Caenorhabditis elegans: one gene and its partner. The protein of the gene in region 1 interacts with the protein of each later gene in a pairwise test. Each region holds a gene or a part of one and is shown on either strand. Other genes may lie near its edges. The genes, in order: nab-1 and sad-1.

Region 1 (18,334 bases):
GTCTGAAAGCGGATATTGTAAATGATACATCGAAATTCGAGCAGCTATCCGGAACTATTTGTGCAGATAATCTTATCGAATGGGATACATTTATCACTCCAGCAAACTATCCACGACGATTTCTAACAAAGTTTTATCTTATGCTCGTGGATGGTACGAGTTTGAAAATAATGGAAAACGGGTTCAAATGCCCAAACAACTCAAAGGAAATGAGCAAAATGCAACAAATTTGAAAAAAAATCTGATTTTAAAGTTTTTCATAAAAACAATATAACAGTTGCCCATGAAAATATAAAAACATTTCTAGACGAACCAGCAATCGATCTATGTACATCGGAAATGTCGGAATATAATTGGATTGAACCGAAAGAGTGTGTCGATGAAGCTTATGCCGGAAAATATGCGTTGCCTCCACCACAAGTCTATGAACTTACCCGCCTTTCACAGGTTTCATAGATTTATTTCCTGAAAATTACATGGTTATTTTTAGGTGAAAGATTGGGATCTTTGTGAGAAATATGGAAATGTGAAAAAGCCAATTTGTCCGCAGCCAATCAAGACAATAGGAGAGAACTTGATCACAAATTGCTTTCCAGGAGATTATATGTATATTGGTAAGTTAAAGCAAAAAATATTCTCACCATCACGGCCTCTCTCAATTTCATTTATTTCAAAATTCCTCTTTTTCTCTCACACTCTCTCACGTGAGATTGAAAATTGAATAATATATGTGTTTTTAAATTAAATTCAAAATATTGACGAAGAAAAAACTTTGGTATAAATACTGTTTTGTTAGGACCGATACCAAATGGTAATTTTTGGACATATTTGATCTCGTAGACAACGGTTCACTATTTCAGTGATCTTTAAAGTAATAAAAAATTCTTCAAAGTTTGGTACAGAGAAACTAAAGTAGTTACATTTGTAGAAACTTACATAACTTATAAACCTACCGTATTCCTATCGTACCCAATTACCGTATTTCCTCTATTAGTCTTGAATGCAAGACTAATTTTCAATTGACCCGTAGGGGTGCAAGACTAATAGAGTCTGCATGACTTATTTTCGATTGATCCGTAGGGGTGCAATACTAATAGGGGTGCAAAACTAATAGAGGAAATACGGTATATTTTTTGTCGTACACTGATGGAAAACTGATGAGACTTTCCCGACTGGGTTCACAACCTGAGTTATTCATTGGTGGCCTCGGTTTCAGTCGGTTGCCGACTGTAAAGACGGGATCCCGTACGGGAAAAACAAAAAGTGACATATGAAAAAGGTATCAGACGGTATTAATCCATACTTTGTTATTTTTTGCTTCTTTGAGTTGATTGTGCAAACGGATAATTTCGAATACCTTCGTGGTATCTCTATCAAAGTTTTTCAAAGCATTGAATCTTTACATAGCTTAAACTATGTATTTTGTGAGAATAGCCAAGTATTATGCACATAAAAAATGTTTCTTGTGTTATCAAGATTATTTTTGTAGTTTAAAGTTTCTTGATAGCTTTTCTGGTTACCGAGTTATATGTTTTCAAAAGCGTTCACATCAACTATTATGCTTGCGGTTGTCCAAAAATTACAATCGCATTGTCTTAAAACTGAAGTTACTCAATCAGTTTTTGATCAAATCAGGTGATTGACATATTAATCTCTTCCTTAGAGAATTTTGCAACTTTTGGTGATGTTGAATTTTTGATTATGTCTTGGTGCGTCTCGTAAAATTAGGAAAACCCGCCAAAAATTGTCGTTTTTTAACGATTTTTGGAGTTTTCAGGCCTAATTCTTGTTTTGAAGATGCCGACGTCAATTTTCATCAAAAAACCTTCATCAAAAACAGAAAATAATCATAAAAAAATTATCTACAAAATGGTGGTCTTCAATTTTCAAATTTCTCTTTTCAAGGATCACTAGAGGTCCCAAAAAAAATCCATTTTTCGAGGTAGCCTTTTGTTTTTCCGTCTGCCGGCGTCGTGAACATCACTAACCTAGATATTTGCATAAAAATAGACACACTTAGTCTTAATTGACAATATATTAATAAAAAATTTAAAGATTTATCAGCGAATCGCCGGCTTTAAACAGTTTTGTCTGGAAAATCACTGATTTTGAACTTTCACATGTGGGCGTATTCATAGGTGATTTACAATTTTGCCCTTTTTTTCATATAATTTATATGTGTTTGATCAGGCAGTTAGTAAATTTTTATTAGATTTTGTTCACTATCAGCCGTTTCCGGTCTATTTTACCGTTTTCAGTACAAATTCGGCTCAAAAAGCTCACTCTCTCGCCCATGAGAGACGCAGAGACAGTTCATCACGTCAATTTATTTATTTTTTGAAATGAAGAGAGGCCGTGACCACGAGCTAAATTTTATTAGGTTACTGTAGTTTTTAAATATTTTAAATAAGCTTTATGTAGCTTTGCCTAGAAAAATCGAACAATTTCCCAATTTCAACCTAGTTTTCCAAACTAATTCCCACGAAATTTAATTTTTTAATTTAATTTCAGATGAAAACAGCTTGCAACAACCGCTCCGTCAAATGTCTGCTGATCGTGTTACCGTTGATCCAACTCAACCAACTCATCGCGCCACCTACTATTCGGAGCCAATGTATGGAAAAGTTCGGTTGTACCAGCACCTACTGAAACCAGCGGATATTGCAGCCTTCCATCAGTTTGACACACATTCGAAGGATTTATTGTGATTAATTGAATTATTTTATTACTAGTTCGGGTGTATATTTCTAGGTTAATAGTTGATGTTCTAAAAATAAAGCTGATTAAAAAAATATTTATTTTCAAGTGAGGATCATTTTCTTCATTTACGCAATGCCACTTTGATCTCCTTCATCAGATTGTCTTGCCAGGAAGAATGGTTTGATTCAATTGTCTTGATTCCGTTCGCCAGTTCTCGCATTCTGAAACACATTAAAATTACGGATATGGTGCATCGAAAGATGTGCAATCCTCTCACAAGCCACTTCAAATTCCTTGATACTGAGAACTTACAATATTCCATTTTGATGTTTCTAGTTGCCTCATTGGATAATAGAAATGGTCTCGTCGCGAAAACTTTTTGAAATGTTATAATAATTTGGGTTTGGATACTGTAACCTCAAAGGCGCAAAACACTATCAATTTTTTGCAGGAAACTTTCGTGGCGAGACTAAAATACTATTACTCATTCAGAGTGTAGAATTAAAAAAAACCAGATTTTCATAGTCAGTCTGCTGAAAATACTGAAAAATAACAGAAAAGCACGATTCTACAAACATTTTATTTTGCAATAGTTCTCAGTTCAGGCTCATTTTTCTTCTCTAGACTGCCAAGTTCCCGAGTTCATTCAGTTTACGGTTGCCGAACTTTTCCATCAAATCAGTCAGTGCCGTGCTGCAATCCTGAAATGTTATTTTTGTTAAAGAAAACTATTTCCTATGAGATTTCTCACATTTGCGCACCAATTTGTATCCTTTCCGATATTCAAGCAAACAGCCATGCAGAAACAGAATTGATAGTAGGTGGAGATGGATCCATTTCGAAACTTCATGATTGCTTTGATCAAGCTTGGAACATCAAAACACTCTCGTTTCTCGACGTCTCTCAACAACATCAAAGCAACCCAACCAGTGGATGCACGATTAATGCCATCGAATGATTGGAGCATGACTGGTGGCACAAAGTTTTCCATACTTTTACGCAGAATCTATTAACTGTTATTATTTGCAGCAGTCTTTAGTTTCAACTCACGTCCATCTCAAACTTCTTGACCTCACGAAAGAAAAGAGCCACGTTTTGAGCTTGCTCCAAAGCATTCCCGGAAGTTGGCTTCTGTCCAGACCAAGTATTCATATGGAAAACGATGAGTCGGTGACTTTTATAGTTCGATGCATTCGGATCATCGCTGTTCTTATCGATCACAACTTCACTATCAGTCAACTCTAGCTCATACTTGGTTGCTCCCATGCTAAGACCTTCACGAGCCTTGCAAACGATGGAAAGAGTTCCCTTCATCAGTTCAGCTTCCATTTTCTGCTCTAGCTCAGTTGGAAAGTATGTATAGCACTTTCCATCATCGGAACCACTCATTTGTTCGTCGTGGCACAAGCACACAAGAATTCTGATGTGATCCTGAAAATAAATTTGAAATGATGTTTAAAAATTCAACAAAATAACAAACCTTTAGAATGACTCTCCAAATCAGCTTTGAGCTTTTCTTGGTCGGCGCCTGCACAATGATGTACTCAGCTCCTTCCATTCTGACGTACTGTCCTGGGAAGAACTCCTCATCGGATCCGCAAAGAACGCGCCGATTATCTCTAATCGGGATCGGCAAACGAACATTTACCGGCAGGTTCTTGACGAATTCCGGCACATTGAATGCAGCATGTCCCTTTAGAAGGTCGTACATTTGAGGGCGACTCTTTGCTTTCAAAAGCTGATCAGCCACCTCAGTTGGCGATTGTCCTTCAGACACGGTGCTTGTTGTCTGAAATGAAATTCTCGTAGTTGAAGTTCTCACTCATTTTTTAAAAGTTATCCACAGTTAATTTGCGATGTGTTCTTCAGGAACCTTACAGCATTGACATCATGGACGCACGATGCACATGTGCTCCACGAAATCATGCAACAAGGCGCGCGTGAATCCTTGATCTCAATGGATCCATCGCAAATTAACTGTGTGCTCATCTAGCGCATAAATGCGAATATATGAGGAATTGATCAAGAAAAGTCTCCTGATCCTGTGCTGAAATATCAAACTTACATCTTTCTTGGCTTGAGATCCGGATTTGCGACGGCTTGTCTTTGCTTTATCCTTCTTTTCCTTTGACTTTGATGGTGCCATTATAACTCCGTTCTCGTTTGAGTTTTTGTTTGAACCTTGGAGACAAGAATAATTCAGAATAAATTGATTTGACTAATTATGATGTGGATGTGGAGAAGATACGTGGAAAGAATAACAAATACAGTAGGGGGCCACGAGAAGGTCGCTAGACTGACTTCAACAATTTGTAATTTTGAAATGTTATCACGTGAGTGAAAAGGCAAAAAATAATTTTGATCAGAAATTGTTTGTACATTTCAAATCATTATTGAGACTAGTCATCCGGACGGAAAGAGATCCCGTTTTCCCTGATTCTTGAAAATCTATTACAGTTCTGACCAAAAAATAAATAATTTCAAAGCGAACATTTTCGATTTATTTTTAAAATCGAATTTTGGTGAAAAAAACATGTTTTTTCTTCGAAGAATTAGAGATATAACAGAAGATTAGATTTTTTGAGTTCTATGAGTAATACGTATTTATCTAAAATTTGTCGATTTTGATTTTCGAAAAAAAACGGAATTTTCGTTTAAAAAAATTGAGAACTAACTGAAAATTATTGAAAATTTCAATTTTGGCCAAGAAAGAAAAATGTTCAATGGAAATTGAAAATCAAATTTTGGTTTAAAAAAAATGAAACTTGCTTCAAAAAGAATGGAGAAATGACCGAAAGTTATTGAAAATTTTCAATTTGAAAATTGAAAAAAAAACCAATAGATTTACCGAAAATTTGAAGATTTTGTTAAAAAGAAAAATCAAGTTTATTTAAATTAATATTAGAAAACAAACTGAAAAAAAAACAAAAATTCCCAAAGACTGAGAATTATTGAAAATTTGTTAAACATTGAAAACCGTTTATTCGATCTGAAAAATATAAAGGTAAATAAAAATATGCGAATGTAGAACATCTTTATTTTCAAATGAGGATCATTTTCTTCATCCACTTTGATCTCCTTCATCAGATTGTCTCGCCAGGAAGAATGGAAAAGTAACATTAAGCTGATAGTTAAAATAAAAATCAATGTTTTATTGGTCAGAAAATGATTGTTAGTGAGGGGGAAAGTGTCAGAAAAATATATCACAATTTTTTGGTGGTGCATCTTTGAAAAAATAGAGGGAAAAAATAAATAAATTTTGGTGGACAACATGAAAAAGGGGGAATTACGGCAGAATCTATGAGGATGGAAATGGAAAGAAAAGGCGTTGAAAAACTGAACAAATTAGGGGAAAAGTAAGGGAAACCCATGGATTGGCGATTTGGAACAACCTTGAGAAATGGATAACATTTGCGAAAAAAAATATATATAGAAAACAACCATAGACTTTCGTATACTTTTTCGCAGTGAGAATATAATAATTATAATTTAATAGTTTTCAAAATCAGACAGAAAAAATCACATGGGAATTGTGTGTGCAATGACTCGGGTACGGCTTTCTCGTTCCAACTGTTTTCGTTCTCTTTCAATTTTATTCTTCATTCCTTTTACTTTCTTTTTAATTAGAGAACGATCCGAGTGATTTTGAATTCCCATTGCCTAAAAAATATTGATTCAGATAAACAATTTCAAGTGGTGTGATTTCCCAAAATTGTGGAAAATTTGAAAAAGTTGACGTCACATAAGGTTTATAGAATGCACCTATTTTAAGCCTTGTATATTCTAGGCACTTTTCAGGTAGGCAGACTGTGCCTACTAGACCTGAAGGGTTTTTGGGTTTGGCACAAGAAACTGAAAAATCAAAAACAAAAGTTCAGTCTCTCTTGCTCGAAAAGTGACATTTCTGTTGTTTTTATGAAATAGAGTGTAACATAAATATTGAATTCATTTCAGAATTTTCAGGAATCTTTTTCTCGGTTTTACCCAAAAAACCGAAAAGTTTAAAAAATTTTAGCACCTTGGTGCCTACGAAATAGTTTAACTTTTCGTTATGTAATTGCAGCGTTTTTTTTTTCTACCCGAGTTTTCTTGCGCCGGGATCGTATACATCTTACTCACCTTCAGTTTATTTCCGTCGAGCTCGAGGAACTTGGCTCCATCGATCTTATTAATGGTGAACTCTGGCACATATTTGTCCAAGCCCATTGAAACGAGCAACTGACAAACATCGTCCACCGTCCAATGAAGAGCTTGAAGACCAACTGGTTGACACGTGGCACGCCAGAACTCGTTTTCGGCGTACTTCTTTCGGAGTGGGAACAGAAGTTTGCGATGCGTCAATTTATGTGGAAGAGCCGGAGATGCTGGCTCGGAGATACGAGGGACTGGCGACTCGCATGGTGATGAGTACTCTTCTGTCCAACTACTTCCAACTGATACTTCCGCATCTTTTTTGGTTGATGGAGTCTGGAAATGAAAATGGGTGTTATAATTAGTTTCTTACTTGGGCTTAGGCTTAGTCTTAGTCTTAGGCTTAGGCGTAGGCTTAGGCTTAGGCATAGGGCCTACGCTCAAGCTTAATTTTAGGCATTATGTGAAAACTGTTTTAGAATGAAGTTTGAAGATGAATGTTCTTTCATATTTTCTCCAACTTACAATAGTCTCCAAATTAACCATAACAGCCTTATCCTCGTGAGGAAGCTCTCCACCTGGTCTATACGCCATTCCTTCATTCCTCTTCTCAACTTTCTCCTTTAACTTCTCTCTCAACTCGATAAGCTCAAGATTCTGAATAGAATGCCTTCTCTCTTCAGCTTCTTCCAATTTCGATTCCAACTCATCAATTCGTTCTTTCAATTGACGAACTAATGATGCATAATGTACATCCTTATCTCTCAATTGTTCCACATGATTCTCTTCTCGATTCAACAACTCTTTTTCTCTTTCCTGATAGTTTTTAATCATATAATTTGCCTGCTCATTCTGCTTTTCCAGTTGATCACAATGTGATTTCGTTGAGCTCAACACTTCATGATATTGCTCTGCTTTCTTATGAGTAACATCAAGTTCCAGTTCAAGAGCAGCAATCTTCGAACGAATCTCAATTTCTTCTTTTGTGATCATTGAAGTTGTCGGACGATCCTGTTCAATTGGTAGCTGTGGCATTTGAGATGGTGGTGGTGGCGGCTCTTCGATATCGTCTTCCTCGTCTCCCATCATTCTCATTCTGTCGTGTTCAAGACTTTGTTGAATTAGCTGAGCAACTTCGGATTCTTCAAGGTTTTGTTCGCGACCTGCAATACATTTTTTTTAAATTGGAAGATAACTGGTAAACATAATTGAAATATTTTCTAGATGCTTTTTTTCTCTACGCTTGCGCGGAATATGGTGTATTGAGTCGCTGTTGCACACAAAAATATTTGTGTTATTTCACGGAGTCATCAATGCAATATATCATACGCGTTCGGCACAATACTCCAAAAAAAACCAACCAATTGTGAAAGTGACTCGATTGCTGGTGGATCTCAACGTGTTTGCAGCATACAACTGTGAGACACCGACCAAACTCTTTCCATCGACTGAAACAATTTGATCGCAGACACGAATTCGTCCATCTCGATGAACAGCTCCGCCAGGTGTGATGCTCTTTACAAAGATTCCCAGCTTTTCAAGACCCGAGTCTGCACCAACACCCATACCTGAAACATAACGAATTTATCCGAAAACCGTAGGCAGGCAGAAAGCATATAATTTTTTCCTAAACAGTAGCTTCAGGTTGACATTCCTTCAAGTTTAATTAAGCGCTTATATCTCGGTTATCTTTGGTTATGCCGAGAAAAGAAAGTTTCCAACTATAAAAATGAAACAGAAACTGTGAGCAACATCCGATTGTAACCGAGATACAAGGCTTCTAAGTTATGGTAAGCCACAATACAATCACTAACCAATAATAGAGACTCCAAGTCCCTCGGCACCCTTTTCCAAATCAACTTCAAACAAATCCATTCTTTCAAGTCGTCTCTCCAATTCATATTCAGCACAACTTGCCACCGGATCAATGTCTTCATTCTTGCGATCGTAGTCTTCAACGGAAAACGCCGAGAAGACCTGAAAGTGAAAACGTTTAGATATTATGCAAATGAAGATCGCTTTCTCTTTCTCTTTTTCTCTTGTTCCTCATCTCTTATCATATCAATAAGGTGACCTAATTCGAGATTGTATAGATATATCTATTAATGAATTAATATCACCTTGCCACATATATGTAAACAAAAGGAAATGTTAGGTTGTGGTGGTCAAGTTTCAGTGAATGCATGTTTGCTCTATTGATAGTTTCAAAAAGATTTTTCTCGGCCACGTTTCAATCTGTCTTGGCCTAGAAAAAGTATAAAATTATTTTGAACATCATACATTCCATAGAGCAAACTTGCAACAACAAAGAAACATGAGTGAATGGGAAAAGTGGGTGATCTTACCGGAATAGGTGCAGTGCTGAACGAGACCTTTCGATTCGTTAAATCCACGTCAGGCCTCTCTGGACTCAGACCCCTCCGTGTTTCCATGAGTCCTCTGTTTTCTGATGTTGTTTCAAGTTCTGTTTCCTTTGGTGTTTTGACGACGGCGTATGTCGTGTGCTTCACTCCATTCGTCGTTGGTGAGATTCCATCGTTTTCCTCGCCAAAACTGAAAAAAAAGTTTTGATCGAAGAAATTTGATTATTTATATTAACAGCAACTCATTTTCATGAAATGATTGGTTTTTTCAGGTGCCTGCATATATTAAATTTACTAAAAAAACAATCTGGCGCAAATCGTATCAAATTTTTAAATTTTAAAAAATGTGAATGTCCGATAAAAAATCGGCGTTCTAAAAATATATCTAGACACACTAAATGAATTTTTATCACAAACACAGTGCGGTTTTTTAAAAACTTAAGGTTACGATAGATCCTTCATAAGCTTGCCAACAATGGGCTTGAAAAGGGTTTTTACGGTTCCAACGAGCCGATATGTGAGAAAACTCGGCCACGCTATTTTAGCAATTTCTGTAATCTTAATAGATTTTTCAAATTGAAAAATTCGAAAATTTCAAGATATTATGTGCCATCACTATTCTGAAAGATCCAAAGAAGACCGTGTTCCTGAATGAATCAAAAATTTTACTTTTAGTTTTGTACTTTGGAAAAGTCACAAGGATCTTTTTTTTAGCAAATTCAAAAAAAATCCCGAATGAGAAATCTAAGAAAATATGCTGGCCAAGTTTCTGGTTTTTTCTAGGCCACATTTTTTTTCGAAAAAACACAAATATTTGTTAGTCGCAACTAAAATACTTCAGCGCAAGAAAAAAAACTATTATAGAGAAAAATAAAGAAACTCATGCGAGAAAGTAAGAAAAATAAAAGAAGCGAAACACATACGGTTTGCCATTTCCTTCGAATTGCCTCCGATATATTGATCCATTTCTCCAATAGGGTTCAAATGAATTCATATTAATATTATTATTATTGTTGTTGGTTTGAAGTCCTCCATATTGCGACGTGGCAACCGTATTTTCGAACGAATACTGCTGTGTGGAATCGGAATATGATGACGGAAGAGTTGATGATCTGAATTGGAAAAAGAAAAGGCATGCGAAGCTGATAATGAAGCAAAGAAGAATGTTAGTTGAAATTAAAGAAAAAACAGAGATTTTGGTTTTTTTTTCGATTTGAAAATTCAAAAAAGTTCCTTTAAAAAAATTCTCAACTAATTTATCTGAATTTCGCACAGTTTCCTAGAATTTCTGAAATCTAGTTGCAGGCGACTTTTTGTAACTACCAAAAAAAATTAAAATACTTTGGCCCGCGAACCGAATGGAGAAAATTGCGATTGATCAAAAAAAATTACAGTTACATTTTTTTGAGAATTAAAAAAAAGTTATGGTATGGTAACAAATCCTTAAAAAAACAACTCACTTATTTTGTATAAACCTAGACGTTGCCGGCGATGATTGGATCCGATCGAGATCCGCGGCCAAATCAGAGAAATTTCGTTCGACCTGGAAAAGTTTTCGAGTTTTCGATTATGTGTTATATGCGTGTGTGTCTGATGGGGGAAAGGAGTGTGTGTGTGATATGAGTAAATGCCATTATTTTTGAATCTATTATCGATGAGCGGATTAGTCAACCGAACAGTATAACAGAGACGGGGGTGTTGGAGACACAAAACATTGACTAACTGACACAGTCTTTGAATTTTTAAATTCCATTTCTTTTTCCAGAAAACAGAAAGAGAAGGAGAGAGAGAGAAAGAGAGCCATGTGATTGTTTGATCACACATACCTGTGACATCGGACTCGGCGGACATTGAGATGGAGGTTTTGGGGGTAATGGAGGTGGTGGTTGACGTTGAAGACGTGGAGAGTAGAATGATGGAACCTAGAAACATTATTTTTTAATTGACACTACAGTAGTCTGCTTGCCCAATTTAGAGTTTGTTTTGGAAAAAGCGTGGCGGGCATCTGATGTTTGAAAAAGTTAGCTTACTATTAGCTCAGAAGTTGGCAAAATTTGGGCAAGACTTTGAAAATACTGGGTTTAAGCTGTGTTTAACAAAACTTGAGTTATAAATATGGTAGAAGTCTAAATCAAGTCGACAGTGTTTCCAACTTTTGACCCAAATTAATAATTGTTGAGCAAAACTTGATCATAGGGAAACCTCTTTTTCAGACATTTTTCAGACGTGACGTCAAATTTCTTAAACGTGAGGCTGTGAAGTGATACAGAAACTGGTAGTCAGAGTATCTCTTTTCCGAATGATCTCCGAAAACTTCGCCAAATTTAGACGCAGACTTTTCAGCTGGTGATCTAAAGAGCGGGGACGTCATACTTTTTCACTTTTCCTGTGAGCAAAATTCCAGCAATTTTCATAGATCAAATCAAGAGAGGGGACTTATTCTTTGAAGGCCTAAGTGAAGAATCTACTAGCAGGCAAAACTTGTTCATAGGGAGCTACAGATTTGATCTATATAGCCAGGAAAATCATTTTGCGAAAAATTGCATAAAAATTCTGGAATATATGCTCTAATCCACAATTTAGTGAGTTTTTTCAAGAAAAATAAATAACCGTAATGCAAAATAGCAAAATGATTTCAAAATTCGGAAACCAATTATTATCATCCAAAAAAAACTCACGTCTTGCTGTCTCTCAAGCTGCTCAAAAAGAGCCTTTGTATGTGAGAATCGAGCTCTTGCGTCGTCTGACAGCAGCTCGGAAGCCGTTGTCATCTCGGCTGTTTGGATTGAATTAGGCAGCTGTAAAATTGAATTTTTCAAAAGGTGGAAAGGTTGGGGAGCGGATATAATTCGTATCAGTTTAGGGGAACTGAGGAGCGAACGGGCGGTACGGGAAAGGGTGTCAATATCCGAGGATATTGCATAACCTTAACAATAAAGGACCGTTTTGCGCGCATGTCTTCTCCGGTTGGAATGACCTGAAATGATATTCCCCCGTGAGATTTGTCTGCGACTCACCGTCTCGCACACTATTTTGTTATCAGCAGCGGTGCGCACGACGCATGCACCGCCCACTTGCTGTTGTTGTTGTCCCGGCGACGTCTTCTTTTCTGAAGAGATTTTCAATTTCAGAATTGATTAGAATATTTCCGAGGCTTGGAGAAAAGAAGAAGAAGAGGAATGACAGAAGGATTTACGGGAAAGTGAAAATATCTATTTATTCATAATTATATTCTTTTTCGTCTCCCGGGTGATAACTGTGATAAGGATCAGGTTTTTGGGCACCGGACGGGGTGGTTGGATGAGGACTAATTGGATTGCGTTCATTTGTGTGAAGAAGGAAAAGCGAAATTCGGATTCAGAGCGGAGGCAAGAGGAAAGTGGAAGAAAAAAGGAGATTAAAAGGGAAAAGGTGCCAAAAAGTATAGAGAGTCTAGACTCGATATAATCAAATCAATTATTGAATTAGAATTGTCGCAAAAATCAGAAATTTCGCAAATAATTCTGGGGATAAAAATTTAAAGTTAGATCACAGATACGAGGTGTTCCTAGACGTAGGAAGGCACCTCTTATTCGCCTTTCTACTCGCCCTATCTGAACCGCACAGCCGAACCATTTTTGAATTCAATTATCAATTCGCCATATTTTACGGTACATCAGTGCAAATGCGCTCTACATTGATCCAAAAAATTAGTATTTTTGAATACTTTTTTTGAAGTCACGAAATTGGACCACCGATTTTTTGGCCCAAAAAATTTAACCAAAAAAAAATAAGCTCAAACTTCAGGGTATCAGATAGGCAAATTTGACCGTGAGGGTGTCGGCCAATAAGGTTTGATGTTTGAATTTATTTTTCAACTAAATCTTATTTTGAAATATTAGGAAAACAAAATGTTCTACATATCCTTAAAATCCAAAAAAAAATCAGAGATGAAGGAAAGTATGTTTTTGATGAAAAATTCTCAAACACCCGACATTCATCAATCATCACAGAACGGGGGCTCTCAATCTTTGTTTTTTTCCTCACTTTTCTTTTCACATATTTATTTTTACAGATATAAAATTAAAAGTGTCCATTCTAAGAAAAGATTTTTTAGAATGAATGAAGGAAATAATGAGAAATGAGGATGGAATTGAGCATGTAAACATGACGACGAGGGAGGCTATAGATATATTTACGGACTGGCAAAAAATTGGAAAAATATTTACTTGGAGCCAGAAGCTTTTGGGAAATGAGTGTGAAAAATATGGAAAAATCTGGAACAAATAGCAATACTTTTCGAGTTTTCTTTCAGCATTCTAGATAAGTTTGCAAATAAAAAACCCAGCTTCTATACTGGAGGGTGTTCTTAAATTGACGAAGGTTGCTGAAATTGGCTGAATTTAAATTTTCCGAGCGCAAATTGTTTCAGGTGGGAATATATTTTCAAGCCTTTTTTATTGCTTTGGCTACTATTGATTTGAGTACTACATTTTCAGTTTAAAAAAAACTGTCAAAAAAATTCTGCAAAAATCAATTTTGGAATTTAAAATCTCTAAACTTGCAAAAAATATGCTGAAAAAAATTTTTAAAATTCAAACTCTGATTTTTTTCAAGTTCCAATAAACTTTGAACTTTTAAGAATAAGAAATGTCAAGAAACTGACGATGTCTACAAAAATAAACGAGCCGGAATGAAAGTGCGCAACGGGCTGGAAGCCAGTGGAAAACATCCGGAGAAAATATAACAAAAATTGTGTGGCAACCATTAAAAAAATAGAAAGAAAACTAAGTAAAGAAACGTTGCAAAAAAATGGGGGTACAGTTATTATGAGTCAGGGAAAGGAGTGGCAATATGTGAGTAAACATTTATGAATTGAATGAAAGGTATAACGGAGAAAAGGTTATCAACTCGAACAATCAAAAATACGGAAACATTTCGCCTGGATGAATATTCTGATGAGATTGGAAAGGTGGAAATAGTATAGGAATGTAGAAGAGGATTAGAGAAAAGAACAGACGGAAAGAGGAAATGGAACATGAATTAGGAGAAGCACTTGCAGGAAAACATGTACTTGAGAGCAATATGTTCAGATAGAGAGGGTTGACAGATGGTTAAATTTTTAGGGTGACGATAAAAATACAAGAATTCCGACAAAAGATGTGAACTTTGAAGAAATAAAATTTAATAATTTTCGGGAAAAAGTACAGACCAAAAAGTTTGAGAATTTTCGAATGGTTTGAAAATTAAAATAAAAACAGGCTAATTTTAAAATTTGGCTTTCTTGCAAAAATTAAATATTGAATAAAACTTGAATTCCCCATCAAAACTTACACAAAACTCTACATTGGATTTCTGTCCAAAAAACAAATAAAATTGATATCAAAATCAGAAAAATTAAAATCTTAATTGTGCTCTAAAATATAGTTTTAAAAGTTTATGTTTTCGGGCAAGAATTTTGATAGAAAGCATGTATGAAAGCAGGCAATTTATATAGTCACTTAAATTTTGAATTTCCGCTTAGTATTTTGAGACTTTGAAAATTGAATTTTCTGTCAAAACAATTGAATTCTACAAGTTTGAGATTTCTCCGGCAATGCTGTGAAAAAATTACTGAAAATTTTGAAATTAAAAATTCCAACTTCCCGCCAAAAAGTATGAAAATAAGAATTCAAGTTCTTACTTTGTTAGTATTTAATAATTTAAATTTGAAATTTCAGCCAAAGTTTTTAAATTTTCAGATATTCAGCTTCCTGTCAAAGCATTTGAAATTGATAAATTAAGCTTACAAGAAAATATTCAAAAATACTACAAACAAAGCGCTCACTTTGTACTCATTCTTTCGGCTAATGATGGTCAAGAGTGATGGAGGGAGGTTGACCAACACTTTAAAACAGAAACAAACATTGAGAAAAGATTTGCCAACTGTTTCTCTTTTTTATGGACTCTTTTACTTTGCGGAAGAATAAAATCCTCCCTGTTTTTGGAAAAGTCACAGGTAATTGAGAATATAAAAAACTAGTCACCTGAGAGAAAGAAGTATTCAAGTTTACACATTTATTACTAGTACTGTTCAAACATTAAACTACACAAAGTACGTTCGGGTCAAAATTTCTTTTTTAATTTTCGATTTATTTTTGCTCGGACTTTCTTTTATGTAGCAGGAAATTTTTCGAACTATTGCCCATTTTTTCAAAGCTTTATTTTAAAAAATATATTCAGGAACTAAATACAAGCATAAACTATTAGAAATTTCGACAAAATGTTCAAATTTTCAGTTTTCAGGTTTTCTAAAAAGAAAAGTAACTGGGAAGCTATTGGGGTTTCAAAATTATTTGTATTTCAATTTAAAAAAAAACTGTCTTTAAAAAATTAAAAAATGACCGAAAATATCAAACAATCGATCGAAAATTTAGATTTTTCGATACTCAGAAAACATTAAATTTTCAAAAATATATTTGTAAATACCACAAAAGCTTTAGAAAGATTAGAAAAACTTTAAAAATATTATTTTGAGTTTTCAATTACAATAATTGAAAAAAAAAAGCATTTGACAAAAAAAGAGATAAAGGATGTGCTAGTCTTCTGATTTATTCATTGGATTAGTGTGTGACGAGTCAAAAGTGTGGGGTGTCTGGTCGCTTTTTTATTTTTATTTTTATTTTTCTGCACCAAAAAATAAAAATAAATGAAACCTGATGAATCATAAAGTAGAATATATTTTAAAAATCAAAAAAAATTGTCATGTGTAAAGTGATAAGGGGAAACGCAGAAGGATTATGAGTCATCTGGCACTAGAACACTGCATCAGAAATTTCTAGGGGTGTCAGATTTCAATCGATTTATTTCAAAAGAGAAAAGAAATTATAAACAAATTTTAGAGAGTCTTTTGGGAATGGGAACAATTGGAAATTATTTTCAACATAAAATTAAAGCAATCGTGTTCGAAATTTTCGAAATGTTTTATCTTCGATGAAACATAATTGTTCAATTCCTTTAAAATTAATAGGAAAACATGTGAAACTGTATAAATATTACATCAAATTTTAAAGAAACGAGAAAAAAAAACTAATAGTAAGGATAATAACCTTTGCAAATTCTGCAACCACGAAAAGTTAGCAACTACGGTACTACTTAAAGGCGCAGGCTCTTTCGAATTTAATAAATCAGTCGCTTCGAGACCGGATGCCAAGCATTGCAAAATTAGGTAATAACCTCCAAAACTTTTCAAATCTTGGAAAATCAGCTAAGCGGTTTTTGAATTTTTTTTTTGAAAAATTAGGAATTAGAAAAATTGGTGACCAAGCTATTTATCTATTTAAAAACATTTAATTTTGTAAAGCCAGTTTTCGCGAAAACGAAAAATCGGATCTAAGAAAAAATATTCATTATTAGTAAAATCCTGGTTTTTCCAGAGAACCTAAAAATTCTAAAAGCAAAACAAAAATAGCCAAAAATAGAAAATTTCGAAACCGAAAAATTTTGGAAGTGGAATCCTTTTTACATGACAAAATCGAAAAATGGCATCACCGAGTAGGGTAGGGGGGATTACGTAAAACACAACAACGACCGGCGCCTCGGGGTTTCCATCACATAATGCATTAGAAAGAGCCAATGGAAAAGAAGAAGGAGAAGCCGGGATTTAGAATGGAGAGTCACCGGGAGATGAAGGGTCCCGAGGCATAGAGAGGAGACGGAGACATATTAACAGTTTTGAGAGCAATGGGAGTTGTAATAATCTCTGGAATATTGACGCCTAGACGCAGACACAAAATGGACGGGAAGTGGACAACGCGCGAATTATGTGAGGGTAGAAAGAGCACAACGAACGGAGCAATGGGTTAGATGGGAGAGAAGACGGGTTGAATAACCAGAATTCAGCTGCCTGCAGGCCAGAATGAACAGAAGGGGTGTGGTAAACGGGTGGAACACACGCAGCAAAGGAGCACAATCCAATCATGCTCCAATACACTTCGCGCCTTCTGAGAGAAGGAGAGACCCATTTCGAGTGGACATGACACTGGCTACTCGTCCTTCTCTCTTTCGCCCTTTTTGCTTTCCAATTCAATATGTATAGGAGGTTTTGACGGAAAAAAACGCGTCAAAAATAAACGGAAAAATGACTAACTGACTGATCTAGTTGGAAGCCTAGATCTGTGAGAGAAGCCACTAAATTTTTAATTTTTAAATTTTTAAACGCCTATTTCCTTCTCTTAATATTTGCAAAAATTGTGAGTAGATCACAGACTTCATCTCTCGTTTTTTTTTCACACTCCTACCGTAATTTTAGCTGCCGAGCTGCATATTGTTGTGAATTTTCTTTTGAAAAATAGTTTGGGAAATGCAAAAATTTCACTATAAATGGAAAATTATAGTACTTTTCTCAAACAGAGTTAAATTTTAATAAAAATATAAATTTTGCAATAGTCTGAACTTCGGCAATAGAAAGTGCTGTTTTTCGAGCAATTGCCAAAATTTTGGAGTTTAAGAATTTTGACAAATACTGATAACCTCACCGCTCTGGTGGATTTGGTACATTTGTGGCGAGATTTAAGATTTTTTTTTCAAAACTTTACCAAGTTTAACACTTGCAAATTTTTAGGGAAAATTTTTTTCAAAAGAATTTTTTTAAATTATAGACCGTTACAGGAAATTTGCAAATGGATTTATTTTGAATTTTCCAAGTTAAAAAAAACAATTTGGAAATTTTTATTATCACTTTAAAACCATTACAATAATTTATGTATTTCTTGCTTGAAATGTTTTTTACTTTAAAATTTGGTACTTTTTGCACAAATTTTCAGATTTTACAAAATTTTCAAAGTTTTGGTGGCAATTTGCCAAAAATTAAAATATACAACTGACAGTTTTTTGTGTCGAGTTCCAAAAATTGGGGCGGTGAAAACGGAGTTTCCCTTTGACTTAAAATTTTAAAAAATTAAGTACCTATTTTTATGATGTTTTATTATTATATCTAGCAACTTTACAATATTCGTAATATAAATTTGAATAGAATATTTGAAAATAAAAAATAATTTTCAATTGGTCTATATGGGTGCAAGATTAATTTTCTAAAGTCCTATAACTTGAGAAAGCAACTAATTTTATTAGAAAATGTAACTCAATACTGTTCAAGCAGTTAAAAATAAAACATACTAACA
Region 2 (15,127 bases), on another chromosome or scaffold:
ACATCGACCCTTCCACTTGCAGACTAGCCATTCCAAAATCTGCTACTTTTATGTTATTCCTCTCGTCTAGTAATAAGTTTTCCGGTTTTAAATCTCGATGACTGAAATTTAAATAAAATTATATTTTTTTACCAGCCGTCAGAAAATTGTTTTACCAAATGTTATGAGCATGGCAAAAATCGAGCGCAGAGATGATTTGACGAAAAAACTTTCGCGCTTCTTTCGACATCAGCCGTCCTTTCCGCACAAGGTAGTCGAACAGCTCGCCACCGCTAACATGTTCTAGTAGCAAATATCTGAAAAATTAGGCTTAAAAATGTTTTGTGATGTAATAATGCTAATGTAAAAGTTATTTGGTTTTTTTTTCATGACTACATACCACGTGTACAAATATTCAAAAAATAGTTCAAAATCAAATATTAAAGATATTGTCAAATATCAAAAACGACTTCATGGAGTGTAATTTTTTGTTTTTAATATTATTTTTTCTTATGCTTCTTCCACGACTCCTGGATTTTGGAATGTTTTTTGTTTCTGTTCAGTTTGATGAAAATAAAGCGAATAAAGTTTTTTTGAAGTACTGTAGGTGACAGTTTTTTTAAACAGAAATTCTACTTAAACGCTTTAATCCAAAACTAACTTTAAATTTCGGATTTAATCACTTTTCGAATGTAATATTTTATTTAAGTTCTAGAGACTTATGCAATTTTTTAATAATATTGTTTTGTGTGTTTTTTTTAACTAAAAATACAATTGTTTTAATAATGTTTGGCCAAATAATCAACATTGTTGAGTGAGATGGGTGCTACGTGCCAAACTACTTTAGAATAATGATATCGAATTTTATGCAGCTCCCAGATTTGAGTCATGTTTTGTTTATAACTTTAATAAATCTTTACTATACTTTAATTTTTCCAATTTATCACACTTTTGGTAATCACTTACAAATATTTCTTATTTTCGTAGACATCGTACAAATGAAGCACATGTGGATGCTCTATCAACTTCATAATTGCAATTTCTCTTTCGACCTGCAAATTCCATAAATTATGGCTCTGTTTCAAACAAAAACCAATACATTTTTAATGTATGGAAATTTATACAATATTGCCACTTTTCATACGACCACTTTCTACTTCATCAATTTTTTCATCCTCCATTTTTGCCACTCTTTCATTACTCTCCAACAACATATATGCTTTACTCGATGTTGCTCGACGAGCTCAGACAAAACGCCGAATAGAAAGAAAACAGCGTTTTTCGAGATGAAGAAGACGAGAAAGGACAAATGTAAAAGCGGGAGAAAAGAGGAGAAAAGGCGATTGGTTGAAAAATGACAGCATCCGTAAGACACACATTCAAGAACCCTGTGTGTGTGTGTGTGTGTTTCGTTCTTTTTTGTGCCGTTTCGAGAGGAGCAAAAAATACGTTGCACAGGGTATATATGTGCTCGGGGAGCCGGAAGAGGATTAGCGACTGAATAAGAAGTGACACACTGTGATGATGATGATGACGTGGAATCACAAAGAACATGGGAACGGAAACAAAATTTTGAGAGTTCACAGTTCTTTTGTACGGCATCTACACCAAGGGAAACATTTGCAGAATATGCGCCGAATGTGAACATTCATATATGAGCAAATATTTTTGATTGGAACATAAGAACATTCAAGTTATTTTAAAATTTAAATATTATCTTTCTATATAGCAATCATTTTCTTAATCGAAAATTTGAAGTAACAACTAAAAATATTACCTTTTGTAGAACAGATTCACTGAGTTTTTCTTTGTTGACTATCTTGATTGCCACTTTACGGCCCGTAATGCAATGAGTTCCCGTTTTTACCAACCCTGAAACAATACATGTATTTTTTCTGCAGCTCCCGTCCAACTCCATTCAACAGTTCAAGCTAAGAAAAGAGGCTCAAAATTCGCTCATAAATAAGAGCGGACAGCCGAGAGCCCTCGAGTCAAAACAGTCATTTGCATATTCCAAAGCTTGCTTATATTTTTCTTGTAGCAAATGCTACTCTGGGGTTAGGCCCCATGGGAGAATTGCAGTTTTTGGAACTTAAATTACTCGGTCAACAACTGAATGAAAACCGCTTACCAGTTTGACCTTTTCCAAGCGTCTTCTCAAGTTTGTATGGACCGCAATATTGAGCCTGCGCCACTGGACGCGTCGATACAATGTTTTCCGACATGATTTTCGAGCTCAGCTCATTATTCACGGCCGCCAGTTTGCTATTTATCTCTCCGAGGACTTCCTGTAAAAATGTTTGTTTTGAAATCGATGAGCAATAAATAATTTTTTGAATTAAATTGTATTAAGAATATTGGACTTTTACCAAAAATGCACAATTATCATATTACGCGTGACAGTAAACTCCGGATCAAATATTAAAACTTATTTAATAGCTTGTATTTCATTAATAATGTCATGGGAATTTATTGTTTTATTTGATAACATTTTCAAAATTTTTGGCTGCCGGGAGAACTTTAATGAAAAGTCACTTTTTAGTAGTTTATGGGCCAAAATTGTTTTTTGATGGTGCAGGGTAAAACTTTATGAAGACTTATTTTTGACCACGAAAAAAGGTTCTCGAACACTCTTAAGGACATAATTTTTAGCTTTCAAATTGGAATGAAAAGTTGATAATGACAGATATATGGGTGGTAAAAATTGCTACCCTTGAGAAAACTAAATTTTCAATTCAGAACTAAAAGTTATTTTTAGCCGAGTTTTTTTTATTTGAAAATTATTTGATTTGAGCAATGCGGTGGTTACTATAACAATCAATTTGAACTACATAACTAACAAAAATTGGTACTTATATCCGTTAGCTTTAAAAAATATATACCGTATTTCCCATATTAGTATTGCACCTCATTGTTCAACTTTGTCAGCTTATATCTCAGTTATCGTTTGTCCTATTCGAAAATAGTCCAATAACAAAATATTTGCTATTGTTTTTCTGTCATTTTGTTGTTAATAATATATTGATGTCTTCAAAATGAACTTAGATATTACGTTTCAAAGTTAAGTAGTCGGGTGCAATACTAATGGAGGAATCATTTCGCATGGGAACAGTTTTATAAATCAATAATTTGAGGCAAAGTGTTACCTAAATAAAATTTATAGCGTCTCAGCAATGCACATTTCTCTTACTAGTACAGTCCAATTTAAAGTTGGTGTATTTATTGATACAAGATGTTCAAATGAATGAAGAGGCCATAAAGCTTTGAAAGGAAAAAAAATGGGGGGGGGGGGGGGGAAGCAATGGAAGATGGGTGGTAGGCTTGGGATGGAGGGTGTGGTGATGGCGCGTTGAAAAACAAAAGGCGGGAAAGAAAAAGAGCCAACACGCCCCATCCTCTCCGTTTGTCATGTCCCTCTACTCGAACAAGCCGCCAGCTTTTCCAGCCTCCATCACTCTATTCTATGGCCACCAATTTATTCTGTACTAGTTTTATTGCAACCGAAGCAAATAACTATCATGATGGTGTCAAGAGAGCATGGGCCTCACGATGGAGCCAAGAGAGCTTCTTATCCCAATTGTTTTCTCATTGAGAGAGAGAGAGAGAGAGAGAGAGAGAGAGAGAGAGAGAGAGAGAGAGAGAGAGAGAGAGAGAGAGAGAGAGAGAGGGAAGATCTTTTTTCGGGAGTGGGGCTCCAGGAATTTTGAGATTTTTTGAGATTTTTTAGATTTTTTATATAAAAATTTGAGATTTTTTACTTTCAATGCAGTAGCTGTACAAAAATTATGCCTACTGAATTGGACTGAGATTTAAAAATTTTCAATAATAAAAATTTCCAGACTCGAGAACACAAAAAATAGCATTCCATTACACAATTTCAAGTCTCGTTACGCGTTTAGCTTTTTCAGACAGCTGTCAACAATTAGTTTCCTATGGAATACCAGTTCCTCCACTGGAAATAGAAAAATTTTCAGCCAAACATTTTTTAAGGAAAATACAATTTCAGTTTCAAAAATAAAATTACTTATATGTAAGCATTTGAGATTGAAAAAATATACTTAGCTTTAAGAAAAAGTATCTAGAAAAATTAACAATACAAAAAAAATTATAAAAAATTACGATATTTAGTACTACTTCAGCACTTGTAAAATTTGAAGTGCTTTCAGCCGAAAGGGCTATTAGAACTTAGAATATTTATTTTTTTGAACAGACAAAAGTAAAAAGAAATAATCATAGGGCATTTGTTCTGAAACTGAGTTAGAGAAATAACACTCACTGTACATTGACTTCTTGTAGACTTTCTGACAAATTTTAACATACGAAAAATATTGAATGTATAATAATAGCAGCAGTAATATAGTTTCACACAACTAGGCGTTGGACGTACAAAACAAAAACAAAAAAGTCGAGCACTCGTCAGGTTTTTAGAGGTTTTTAGAACAAAAGAGCACGTCTACGCCGCCCTTTCCGTAGTGCCTTTTCTTGACGACGATAACGGGAGGTGCACTAGCTAGCGAATGTATGGAAAATTGCAGGTAGTCGATGCATGAATATATGAGAAAACCGCGAATGGCGTGGCGACGAGATGACTAACTGAGCTCGCCCCGTTTTTTTCTCTCATTTTATGTTTGCGATGTCTACCAGCAATTAAGTGTCCCTTCAATTTTATTTTCATCATTTTTGAAAATTTTAATGTTTTATGACGAGAGGGTATGTTTTTTTTTTCATATTTTTGTATAATCTGCCAAGAATGCGGAAATTCGAAAAAAAAAACATTTTTTAAGTTATGAAAAAAAGTTTGGATCAAAGGGACGGTGATATATTTTTCACTAGTATTGAGTGGGCGACACAAGTTTTCAGAGGTCAAGCTATTTCTTGCGGACCTCCATTGATGTCGGCTGCGCATAAATTTTTGCATGCGGCTAAAAACTCGTGCAAAATGGAAAATTGAAAACCGAAAACCGAAAACCGAAAACACCAAAAAATTTAAGTTTGATATACAATGTTAATGCAAAACTTGCCAGTCTACCCTAGTGCAGTCTGGTACCAATGCACATTTGTACCTGGTGAGATAATCTGACATAAATCAAAATTTCTCAAAGTAGCGTTTACCTGAGAATGTTTGAATCAGCGTTTTATGATGTTTCTGTGTCACACTGATCAAATATCATTAAAATCTAAAAATCATTTCCCCTTTGAGCCAACTTCAAAGTTTTCAGAAAACAACATTTTGAACCGCCATAAACATTTTTTTTAATTTTCCAAAAGGCATCGTTACAAATTGGGTGTTTTGGAATTTTTTTCAATATAATATCGAGCAAATTCTAACTCTACCATTGCAATCAAGTGCTCCAAATCATTGCCGATCAAGAAGTCAAAATTTACGATAACTAAGAAAGGTTTAGGTTTTTCAAAAAAAAAAACTTTAAAATTAACTAATAGAAGCTTAATCAGGATAAAACCAAACAGAAATACTTTTCTACATTCGAAAATTCTTCAAAAATTATGAGATTTGAAAATTCGACACTTTAGAATAGAAACGGTGAACAGTAACAAACATCTTGGTAAAAGTTTTAGATAAACAATGGGTAGAAATAAATTTTCATACGAAGATATATTTTGAACAAAAAAACCGTACAAAACAGGCGATTTTACCCAAGATGAGTCAAGACGGTGCTCCGATTTTCAGTCCAATTTTGGTATGACAAAAAGATAAACTTACAAAGCAAGGTTCGCTGGGAATAGGAGCCGGAAAGCTAGTATAATAAGAGTCCATTCTCGGTTTCCTCCCTCATTCAATTCTCAAGGACGTCAAGTAGAAGATGAAAAGGGTGAGAAGCACCGTTGGCACACCGGAGGCACTTTGAGAAAAAGAGGCGAAGATGTATTAGAGGGAGGAAACGAGGAAAAAAATGGGGGGGGGGGAGGAGGAAGAGGTATCCGTATCCTTTTCAATTTCTTCACTGACTTTGTTCGTCTTAATATTGATTCGGTTCGTTGTCTGTGCAACAGAGCTGCCGAAGCTCGAATGGGCTTAGAATAGTGTGTTGTATACGGCTCGCTTTCGTTTTCTCCTTGCGAATGTCAGTTCATCCGTTTCGTTTTTTTTCTTCCCTTTTTCCCCCCACGCTCTTTGTCTTTTTCTCTCACCTCATCCCCCGATGGTTTTTGTAGTGGGTGGTGGTGCCAAAATTGGAAGAGAATTAAAGACAAAATGATGTGGCGTCAATGAGAAAACGTATTAACTGGGGGATTCAAGAGAGGTTTTTTCTTATAAAAAATGTTTAGCAGCAGAGGAGCACTAGGAAACAGAGAAAAGTAGTTCGGAAATTTTGTGAAAATGCTCAGATTACTTTTCTCTGACAGTTTTCCCCAAAAAAAACCCGCCAAAGTGTTCACGTACCTCTAGACAATCGTCAAATCATTTAATGTCTGTAAATTCTCACTTGGAACAATTTCACGACTCTTAAGTATGAAACAATGCAATGGAAATATTTCATACTGGTTTTTACATATTATATCATTACTTATTATACAGAAATTGCGAAACATTTTTGAAATCAAGAACTCGAAAGGCTTTGGCAAAATGATACAATAAAGAGCCAAAGCCGAGGGGATGGGGGCTCTCTGACTCAGAGGGGTGGCTCAAATTCAATTTCGGGATTCCGAGATTCGTGGATTCAGATTCAAATTCGGACTTTCATTTTTCGTTTTTCCAATTTCATCTATTTCCTCTTCTTGGAATACACTCAAACAAATAACAGAAAACAATATGATTTAGAATTGAGGAGAAAAAAAGATAGGTTGGTTAATTTTGAATTATTCTCAATGGAACTATCAAATCTAGCTCTTACGCTTCAATAATATAGATTTTTTTACAGGAAAATATTTTGATTGTGTATATTAAGCCAGGTGGAAAGAACAAGGAAGACGTCACTGACGTTAGCGGTCTGACGCGTTTTGAGTACAAATTTCTATTTAAAAACTTGTTTTGGCGATTTTCAAAAAAGTCCTCAAAAGGTTTTATTTCAAAAGCCATAATCAAAAGTATTTTAAGAAATAGGCATAAAAGCATAAAACCATGTGAAATATTAACAAAAAATGTATAACACTCAAAAAGATTTTGTTATTGTTATTTTTTAATGTTATTTTTAAAAAAACTCACAGCATTTTTGCCAATATTGTCTATAATTATTATGAACGTTTCTGAGAACTTGGATATCAGGCTTTTTCCCAATCGAAAACTGATAATGATTAAAACCACCAAAAAATAAAACAAAAATCGTACGCTTTAAATGTAATCTCAACTAGAAATCTACCAAAACCGCTCCCAATCCTATCATTAAAATGCCTCTGAAATGGGCGAAAGTGGACAAGTAGGACGTGACTGAATAATGTAGTTTTGCCTGCCTCCCCCCAAATTCAAGTTAAAAAGAGCATGACGATGGAGCAAATGCTCCAGACTATTCCCAATGCGGATTAAGCGGGGCTCAGGCGGCTTCCTTTGCACCCAGAAACACGTGGAATCAAAAGTCGACTGGACGTCATTACGGCGAAATGAATGGATTATTAGAATTGAGGGACAGAATGTGAGAAAATCAAATGATTAATAAAGTTACGCATTTACCAAAATTTGAACTATATTCAAAATTTTCAATACAGTGTTCTTTTTTTTTGGAAAACTATTAATTTAGAAGATAATTATCTTTTTGAATTGTCAATTGCATAATATTAATGAACCGTGCATTAAAATTATTAATAACTATTAAGTAATCATTAAGGGTATTAAGTGATCAGTACTTTTCAAGTTTTTTTAAAATTGTACAATTTAACAAAGTCTGAGTCTTTTTAAACTTTAAAAAAAGTGACATCACATTTGATCATAATTTAGAACAACCCACTCAATCAGAAAAAAATCTGTACTCACCTTGAGAGCTTCAAACATGTGCAGACTTTGCCCGATTGACGAGCGCAGTCATGCGGCTAAGTTTTAAGCTTCCTTGGATTCCAAACGGGGATTTTTTTTGATTCTGCTCCTGAGCAGCTTTCCTGGTTCTGAAATCTATAGTGTTGATTTCCGTTTATGGTACAAATGTTGGAAGTGACGTTGAGAGAACGATTCAAATGCGAGAAAAACCCAACTTGTCATATTTCAATGAATTGGCAGGAATTTAGCAGTACACAATGCACACAGAGCACAGCTCTTTGCACTGCTACTGCCCTGGGGAGTACTCACTAAAAAAAGTGAGAGATGCACAGGCTTCGAGAGAATCAGAAAGGGCCCGTTAAGAGGGATGGGATAGGAAAAAGAAGTCCATCCATCCCCCCAGTGGTCCTGACAAAAAAAGGATCAATAAAAAATTGGAGAAGAGGAATCGGAAGGAAATCTAGTGGAGTGCTTCGCAAGAATTGTTAGTTTTCCAGATATAGTAAATGCCAACAACGTAGTCTTGGTTATGGTTTTTATACCGTATTTTTTTCTGGAGCAATACTTATTCTGGATGCCTAGGGAACGCAATTACATTAGAGAATGCAAAATAATTTCTGAAGGCCATTGAATAAAATATGTATAATATAATTAAAATCCTAATATATCTGATGCGACAAATTGAGGAAAAGAACTTTGAGAAAATATTTTTTAATAATGAAAGTTCAGAAAAAAAATACTGAAAACGATCTATACGAGAATTTTCTTTCGTATTTGTTAAAATTTGATACGAACCGATTTCAACTGTAAATATGGAACTCTTTTTAATTAAAAAAAAACGTACTTCAAAATTTGCGAGAATGTAAAATTCTGAACCTTCAGTTATTATCGCTGAGTTTTTTATACGTTTTAAAATTTTAGGTATCCTGATTCATGTAAGACCGCTGAAAATAAAGTTTCAGCCCCGAGATTTCAATTCAGTTAATAGGAGAATGCAATACTGATAGGAAAAATAATAGAAAGTGATTACCAAAATTGTGTTAAATTATCAAAAAAGGTGGAGTACCGAAATCTGCGACTTTAAACCAAAAATGCCCCAAAACTACCGAATTATGTAATAAGAAATTTTGAAAAGTACTCATAAAAAGTTATCACGTTTCAAAATTCTGGAAATCAAAGCTCATGTTCGACTAAAATCAAATATTTTGCCAACTTCTTGGTGTCACAGCGTCTGGAATTTAATTTTTATCAATTACCACTATTTCATAAACATTGTGTCCAAATTTCCAAAATGTTGAAAAATATGAGCTTTTTACTAAATTCAAAGCAATGTCGCATGTTCCTACCCCTACAATGTTTTATTACAATTTATTTGAACAAAGTATAAAATACGTAGGAAAAATTTTTCCTTCGTCGACTTCTAAAATTATGAGTGGCAAAACTGAGTAATTGCCTCTTTTTGACAGTTAATAAAAAATTTTCAAAATTTATTTGAAAAGTTTTATGATGATATTTGGTCATTTTGGGTCCATAGAAAGTAGTTTTTAACAATTTACCCACTGGCGCTACTCCACTTTTAATATATTTCACGTTGGAACAGTCTTCTTAATTTTCTAGAATAGAGTCTCAACTAGTTAAGTATTTTCTGAGTGCACATTGCACCCATCAAAATTCTCATTGCGTGTCATAATTTTCAGGTTCATTACTTTTCTTCAACTTTTAAAACTCATTCAATGTTCATTGCTCTTTAACCAGACAATGAAATTAGGCAATAAAACTTGTGAAAAAAAACAAACTACTAAGGAAATTAGAACGTGAAAGAACAACAAAAAAAAAGAGAGAAAAAGAAGAAAAAATTTGGAGAAGTGGCTCCAGGGGGCTAGCGTGGTCGCGCAACGCTGCCTGCCTACTCAATAGCACGGACGATAAGCCGTTGTGGGAGTGAAGACGAAGAAGGCTTGGGCTCTTTTCTCACTCTCAATTTGGCATGCTCATGCTCTCTACATGGCTTTCCTCCTATTTTTCTTTTACGGAATATAGGGTATGCGAGTAGGAACAGAATGAGAAAGACGAGGAGCAGAGAAGAAGAGCGGGGTGGGGGGGGACTTCACTGTGTTATCCAAGTAGTAGTATGCAGTGAATGTAACTACGTGAACCACACCACAACTGAAAAAAAAGAAAAAAACGGAACTGCTAGAATAAGTCAGCAGCTTCCATCAGAATGGAATAATCATTTATGTACATACTTGTTTCTCATGTTGCAAAATGAAAACATACAAAAACTGACTTTATCAAAAAATCGAACAATTTTCCAAAAAAATATCTTTTCAGCTATTTCACAACAGAGTAATTGCAAACTCATGAGTCAACAGAAATTAATCTTGTTGTGTTTCTGTGGTTAAGACCAGACTAATGACAAAATGGCTGGCGAAATGCTGAAAACAAAATTGACGGAATTGTCCGAATATTTAAAATTTGGGTGTCCGCAAAATTTCAGAAAAATATTTTTAATTTGTTCACACGTATATGACACATGCTCCTAATTAACTATGTTCCTAATTTTTCAACAACACCAAAATGTTTCCCAAATTTTGTAACTTGGTGAAACCGTTCAATAAGCATTTTTAAACGTTATATATGAGTGTGATACTATTCAGCCATGAAAAACATTTATAAGTATATTTGAAAAATTTTTCCTATTGCTGTACATATATTTTCATGGATATACTACATTTAAACAACTAATTTTTTTAGTTGACTACAAATCCTTTGTAAAACTAAATGCATTTGTCCATAGAATAAAATACTCCAAATTTATTAAAGATTTTTCATAATACCCGGTCAAAGTTTTGACAAATTGCCAAAATTTTGAAAAATATGAGCTTTTGGGGAAATTCAAAACAATGTCGAATGTTATGACCCCTACAATGTTTTATTACAATTTATTTGAACAAAATAAAGTATAAAATACGTAGGTAAAAAATTGTTTTTTGGTCGACTTCTAAAATTATAAGTGGCAAAAAATGAGTAATTGTCATTGTCATTTTTGACAGTAAATAAAAAATTTCAAATAGTTTTTGAATAATTTTTTTGTATAAATAGTTCTTTTTAATACCATATGAGTGGTTTTTAATGCTTTCCCCACTGGCGCTACTCCACCTTTTAGATTTTCAACCTAATATTTTAATATTGTGCTACAAACGAAATGGTGGAAATTGACAAAGAAATTGATTCAAATTAGAACAGTTTTTAATTTCCGCCCAAACCTTATTGTTTTTTGAGTCGTTTTTGTTTTACCTATAAGTAATTCTTTTGAAAAATATTGGAGGTTTTCGTTTTTTGTTATACAAATTTCAACACAATCGCTTTTCCCGGAAATGTGTACTTTACTGCTCATTGCCTCAGTTTCCTCCACCCGTTCCTGTCACTTAATTGGTTGGGTAGTCATGGCCAAAGAAAAGTGTAGAAGAGCCCACAGAGAGAGAGCGACGAGAAAATAGCAAAACGGGACAAAACACGACATTATTATGGAGTGGAGAGTATTCGCCCCGGAAAAGAGGAAGAAGCACGGACACTTCGCTACCCGCGCGGGTCCCGAATTAATGAGGTGGTGGTCGCTAGTTTCCCCCTCACCCTGTCCGTTGCAAAAGCTCCATGTTGAATATGAAATGGAGTGAAATATGTGTGAGAAATGGATTTCAACATGTACATATTCGTTTCCGAGGTCGTTCGTCGAAAAGTAGTACGAATTATTTAGTGTTGTAAGAACAATGGGCAAGAACGTTTAACGAATCGAGCCCAGAATAGTTTAGGAGGTAGCGAAAACGTGAACAAAAAAAAGTGTGCAGAAGATGAAAAATGTAAAGAGTTGGATGAGGACGTGACGGATGGATTGAAATTTGAGTTCTTCTTCGTCTTTTTATTTTCTTTCAGAGTGCATAGAATTGAAGGCAAACAATAGTTTGAGAGAGCCGCTAAAGCTTAACAAGAGCCTAAAGGGTCTAATATGAGTTTTATCAAATGTAAATTTTAATAGATATGTCTGGTGAACTAAAAATTGGATTTTCATTATTTTAGTGAGATAGTGGTTCAAAAAACCCTCATTCTTCAATACATAAGTTTTCATTAAAGGTGGAGTAGCGTCAGTGGGGAAATTGTTAAAAACAACTCCCTCGGTCCAAAAATGACTGAATATCAATAAAACTTTTCAAATAATTTTTGAAATTTTTTTTATTTACTGTCAAAAAATGACAATTACTCATTTTTTGCTACTCTTAATTTTGGAAGTCTACCAAAAAAATTTCTACCTAAATATTCTATACTTTAACTTTGTTTAACTAATTGTATTGAAACATTGTAAGGGTCGAAACATGTGACATAGCTTTGAATTTCCTCAAAGCTCATATTTTTAAAATTTTTGGCAATTTGCCAAAACTTCGACCGAGAATTATGGGAAATCTAAAATTATTTGGAATGTTTTATTATGATATTCGGTCGTTTTGGGTCATTATAAATGTATTTAGACAGAATCCATGGGCGCTACTCCACCTTTAATATTCAGAATTTTGAGCACTGGATAATTTTCAAAACTTGCTAAGAAAATGCATATTTTTTGATAGTTTTTTGTATTGAACAGCTGAAAAAAAAGGTTATTGCTCATTTGAGTAGGCTAAACTTTGATGCTCAATACAAAAACAAAAAGACGAAAAAATGAAGCTTCAACTTGATTCAAGTGAAAGAATGTGAAGAAATGTCGTCGAGCTCGAAAAAATTGAGAAAATGTGAAAATTTGTGAAGAAGTCGTCTGTCAGTTCGTTTTCTTCTTCTTATTTTTTGTCTTCTCATTCGTTTTCGTCGCAATTGAATAAGAGGAGAAGAAGAGGAAGGAGCTGAAGAAGCACGGCGGGAGCTCAGAAGTGCTAAATGAGTCGGGCGGCACTCTCGTAAACCAGCTTACTTTCGAAGATTCAAATGGAATTTTAAAATTGAACAAGAAGATAAAATACAGTGATAAATGGGGAAAACCTTTTTTTTTTTGTTTTTTGCTGAACTGAAAAATCATACCGAAGGAGTGTAACCTGTAACATAGCGCTAGCGGAAGTTTTGCCAAAACATACTCAAAGTGAGCTTAAGAAATACTTTTTTCAGATTTACTGTAGGTGAGTTTCGAATTTGAACAAATACAGAATTTCAAGTTTTTTAACGTATGGACCTTTGTTTTTTTTACAGCATAGAAGCTACTTCACTAGATTTATTCAGCCAACTTTTGAAGAATGTATATAACTTCAAAAGTACGCGGAAATTTCGAAATTCTTCAAGACGATCTAACCAGATCTAACCAATGTTACTCAGAAAAACAAAAAAAAATCTATAAAATGAACGAAACCATTTCATACAACTTTTAGTTTTACAACACTACAGTTTTTTATTTGAAAAAATTTATTTTGCGTGATTTCCATAACTATGAAGTTCAAAGTTACACCAACCAAGTTCCGGTGAAAACTTCAAGTTAAAAAAGCACTACCGTTAGTGCAATCTCAGTAGTACATCAATAAAACGACAAAAACGATGAAAAAGAGCGCACCCATTTCATTTTCATTTGGGTTACACATTTCATCACCACTAATGGAAATCGGGTTTGACGAATGGCAGGGTGATGTAATCCGGGAGCGTGTCAGAGTGGGAAGAAGAAGAAGAAGCACATCTGCTCTTTTTCCGTCCACCATTTTATGCCTCCAGATGGTGAGAAGAGGAGTAAGAAAAAACGGAAGACGTGGGAAGCGAATAAAGCAGGAGGGGGAAATCTCATTAAAAATTTCTAGGTGCCCTTTGCTCGATTTCGATGCCCGAGGGGTTAGCAGGTTCTGGTTCTGGGCAATAATAAGCTGGTTGTTTTTGGTACTCGTCTGGATTCTATTGAATTCGTCTGTGCGCTTGAACGCCCAAGCTTAGTGTTCATTGGAAATATTTGAAATTTTGAAGCGATTTCGAAAGAAATAACGCAATGAAAACCATTTGATACAGGTGGAGTAAAGTTTGAAAATACTTTTTTGTAGAATAATTGTAGGTTTATTTACAATATTTTTATTTTAGTCTTTAGATCAGGGCTTCCAGTCAAAGGCTTGGAGTAGTGCTAAAAGCGGTTATTTGGCCGCGGTCGACATTTTTCGGGTTCCGTGCCGCATTATACAAGAGAAGCGGCTTGCGACGCGAGGCAGGCGTTCTGGCGCCTTACACTGTTATTATCACTAGTAGTATTTTAGGTAGACACTCAACATTTTTATGAACTTCTTTGAACTTCTATACGTCATAATGTCATTTTGTACTGAGGTTTTTAGGCTAGCTTTTGAAAAAAAAAAGCAATTTTCGTATAAAACCCAATTCAAACATTTTACCGTAAGCGTGATATGGATCATCTTTTTTTTAGATTTTAAATATTTTATTTTCCCTAGCCAAAATATAAACTTTTCTGTTATAAAACATTGTGAACAACTTTTTTTTCAAATTCACATTTTTCGAAATGCTCCAAAAACACTGTATTCAAATTTTTACAGAATTCAGGAAAACTATTATTTTAAATGTGGAACAGATATCAAATTAAAAGCAAACCTTTAGTTTGTAGCTTTTGTAGGTTGTCACTGGCTACACCTCGCATTTTTCATCATATAAAAAATGTATCAAGATTGTTTGAACTTGGTAGCGATTTGAACTGTGAATTTTTATTTGATATGCATAAACGTTTATTCCAATTTGAAAAATGCAACGACGTTAGCGCGCGTGTTTCAAGAATATTTCAAACTGTCAATGATCCAAACGTTATTTACTAACAAAAATAATAGAAACATTTATTCAATTTACCGATCGCCGGTGTTTTGAGATGAACCTTCTTTGAAATGGTTTTGCAGTCACCAGAAAACAAAACCATTACAATGTACTCCAATTTGGAAAAGAAGAACTGAGACAATAAAAAAGTAAACTGTTTTCACTTTCGTCTCATCTCGACAAATGATGTAGCTGTTTAGGGTTAAAGCAGAGAAGTAAAACTTGACCAGTTTTTGGCCATATAGGTCAGAAAAGCAACGCTTTTTCTTTTATTTCCTTTGAAGCAAAAGACCAATAGTTATCATTCTATTCAACATTATATCCAGATAACTTACTTGATTTTCTCTCTATTGACATGCGGAACAGCGAATTTTTTCTTATATTCATAATATCATATTC

The links.
Region 2: the proteins of nab-1 (region 1) and sad-1 interact in a two-hybrid assay, tested with the Caenorhabditis elegans proteins (one study listed by BioGRID).

What each region holds. Positions count from the first base shown.
Region 1 is NC_003279.8:4,223,546-4,241,879, reverse strand, and holds nab-1 (Neurabin-1), read right to left. Parts: upstream 12,304-18,334; 5' UTR 12,212-12,303; intron 11,995-12,211; exon of another isoform or gene 11,993-11,994; 5' UTR 11,966-11,992; coding exon 11,873-11,965; intron 11,117-11,872; coding exon 11,021-11,116; coding exon of another isoform or gene 10,937-11,020; exon of another isoform or gene 10,738-10,936; coding exon 10,655-10,737; intron 10,307-10,654; coding exon 10,118-10,306; intron 9,385-10,117; coding exon 9,177-9,384; intron 8,809-9,176; coding exon 8,646-8,808; intron 8,400-8,645; coding exon 8,193-8,399; intron 7,995-8,192; coding exon 7,357-7,994; intron 7,168-7,356; coding exon 6,820-7,167; intron 6,361-6,819; coding exon 6,220-6,360; 3' UTR 5,840-6,219; downstream 1-5,839. Other genes in the region: ndx-7 (Putative nudix hydrolase 7), read left to right, coding at 1-153, 308-447, 491-614, 2,512-2,708; C43E11.5 (Tyrosine-protein phosphatase domain-containing protein), read right to left, coding at 3,321-3,401, 3,452-3,706, 3,751-4,131, 4,181-4,489, 4,766-4,846.
Region 2 is NC_003284.9:13,492,629-13,507,755, forward strand, and holds the start of sad-1 (Serine/threonine kinase SAD-1), read right to left. Parts: upstream 8,035-15,127; 5' UTR 7,925-8,034; coding exon 7,907-7,924; intron 3,517-7,906; exon of another isoform or gene 3,208-3,516; intron 2,268-3,207; coding exon 2,111-2,267; intron 1,852-2,110; coding exon 1,757-1,851; intron 1,032-1,756; coding exon 946-1,031; intron 297-945; coding exon 156-296; intron 102-155; coding exon 1-101. Other genes in the region: H06A10.1 (DM13 domain-containing protein), read left to right, coding at 15,084-15,127. UniProt on the Caenorhabditis elegans protein: Regulates both neuronal polarity and synaptic organization when bound to strd-1. Kinase activity is required for the establishment, but not the maintenance, of both processes.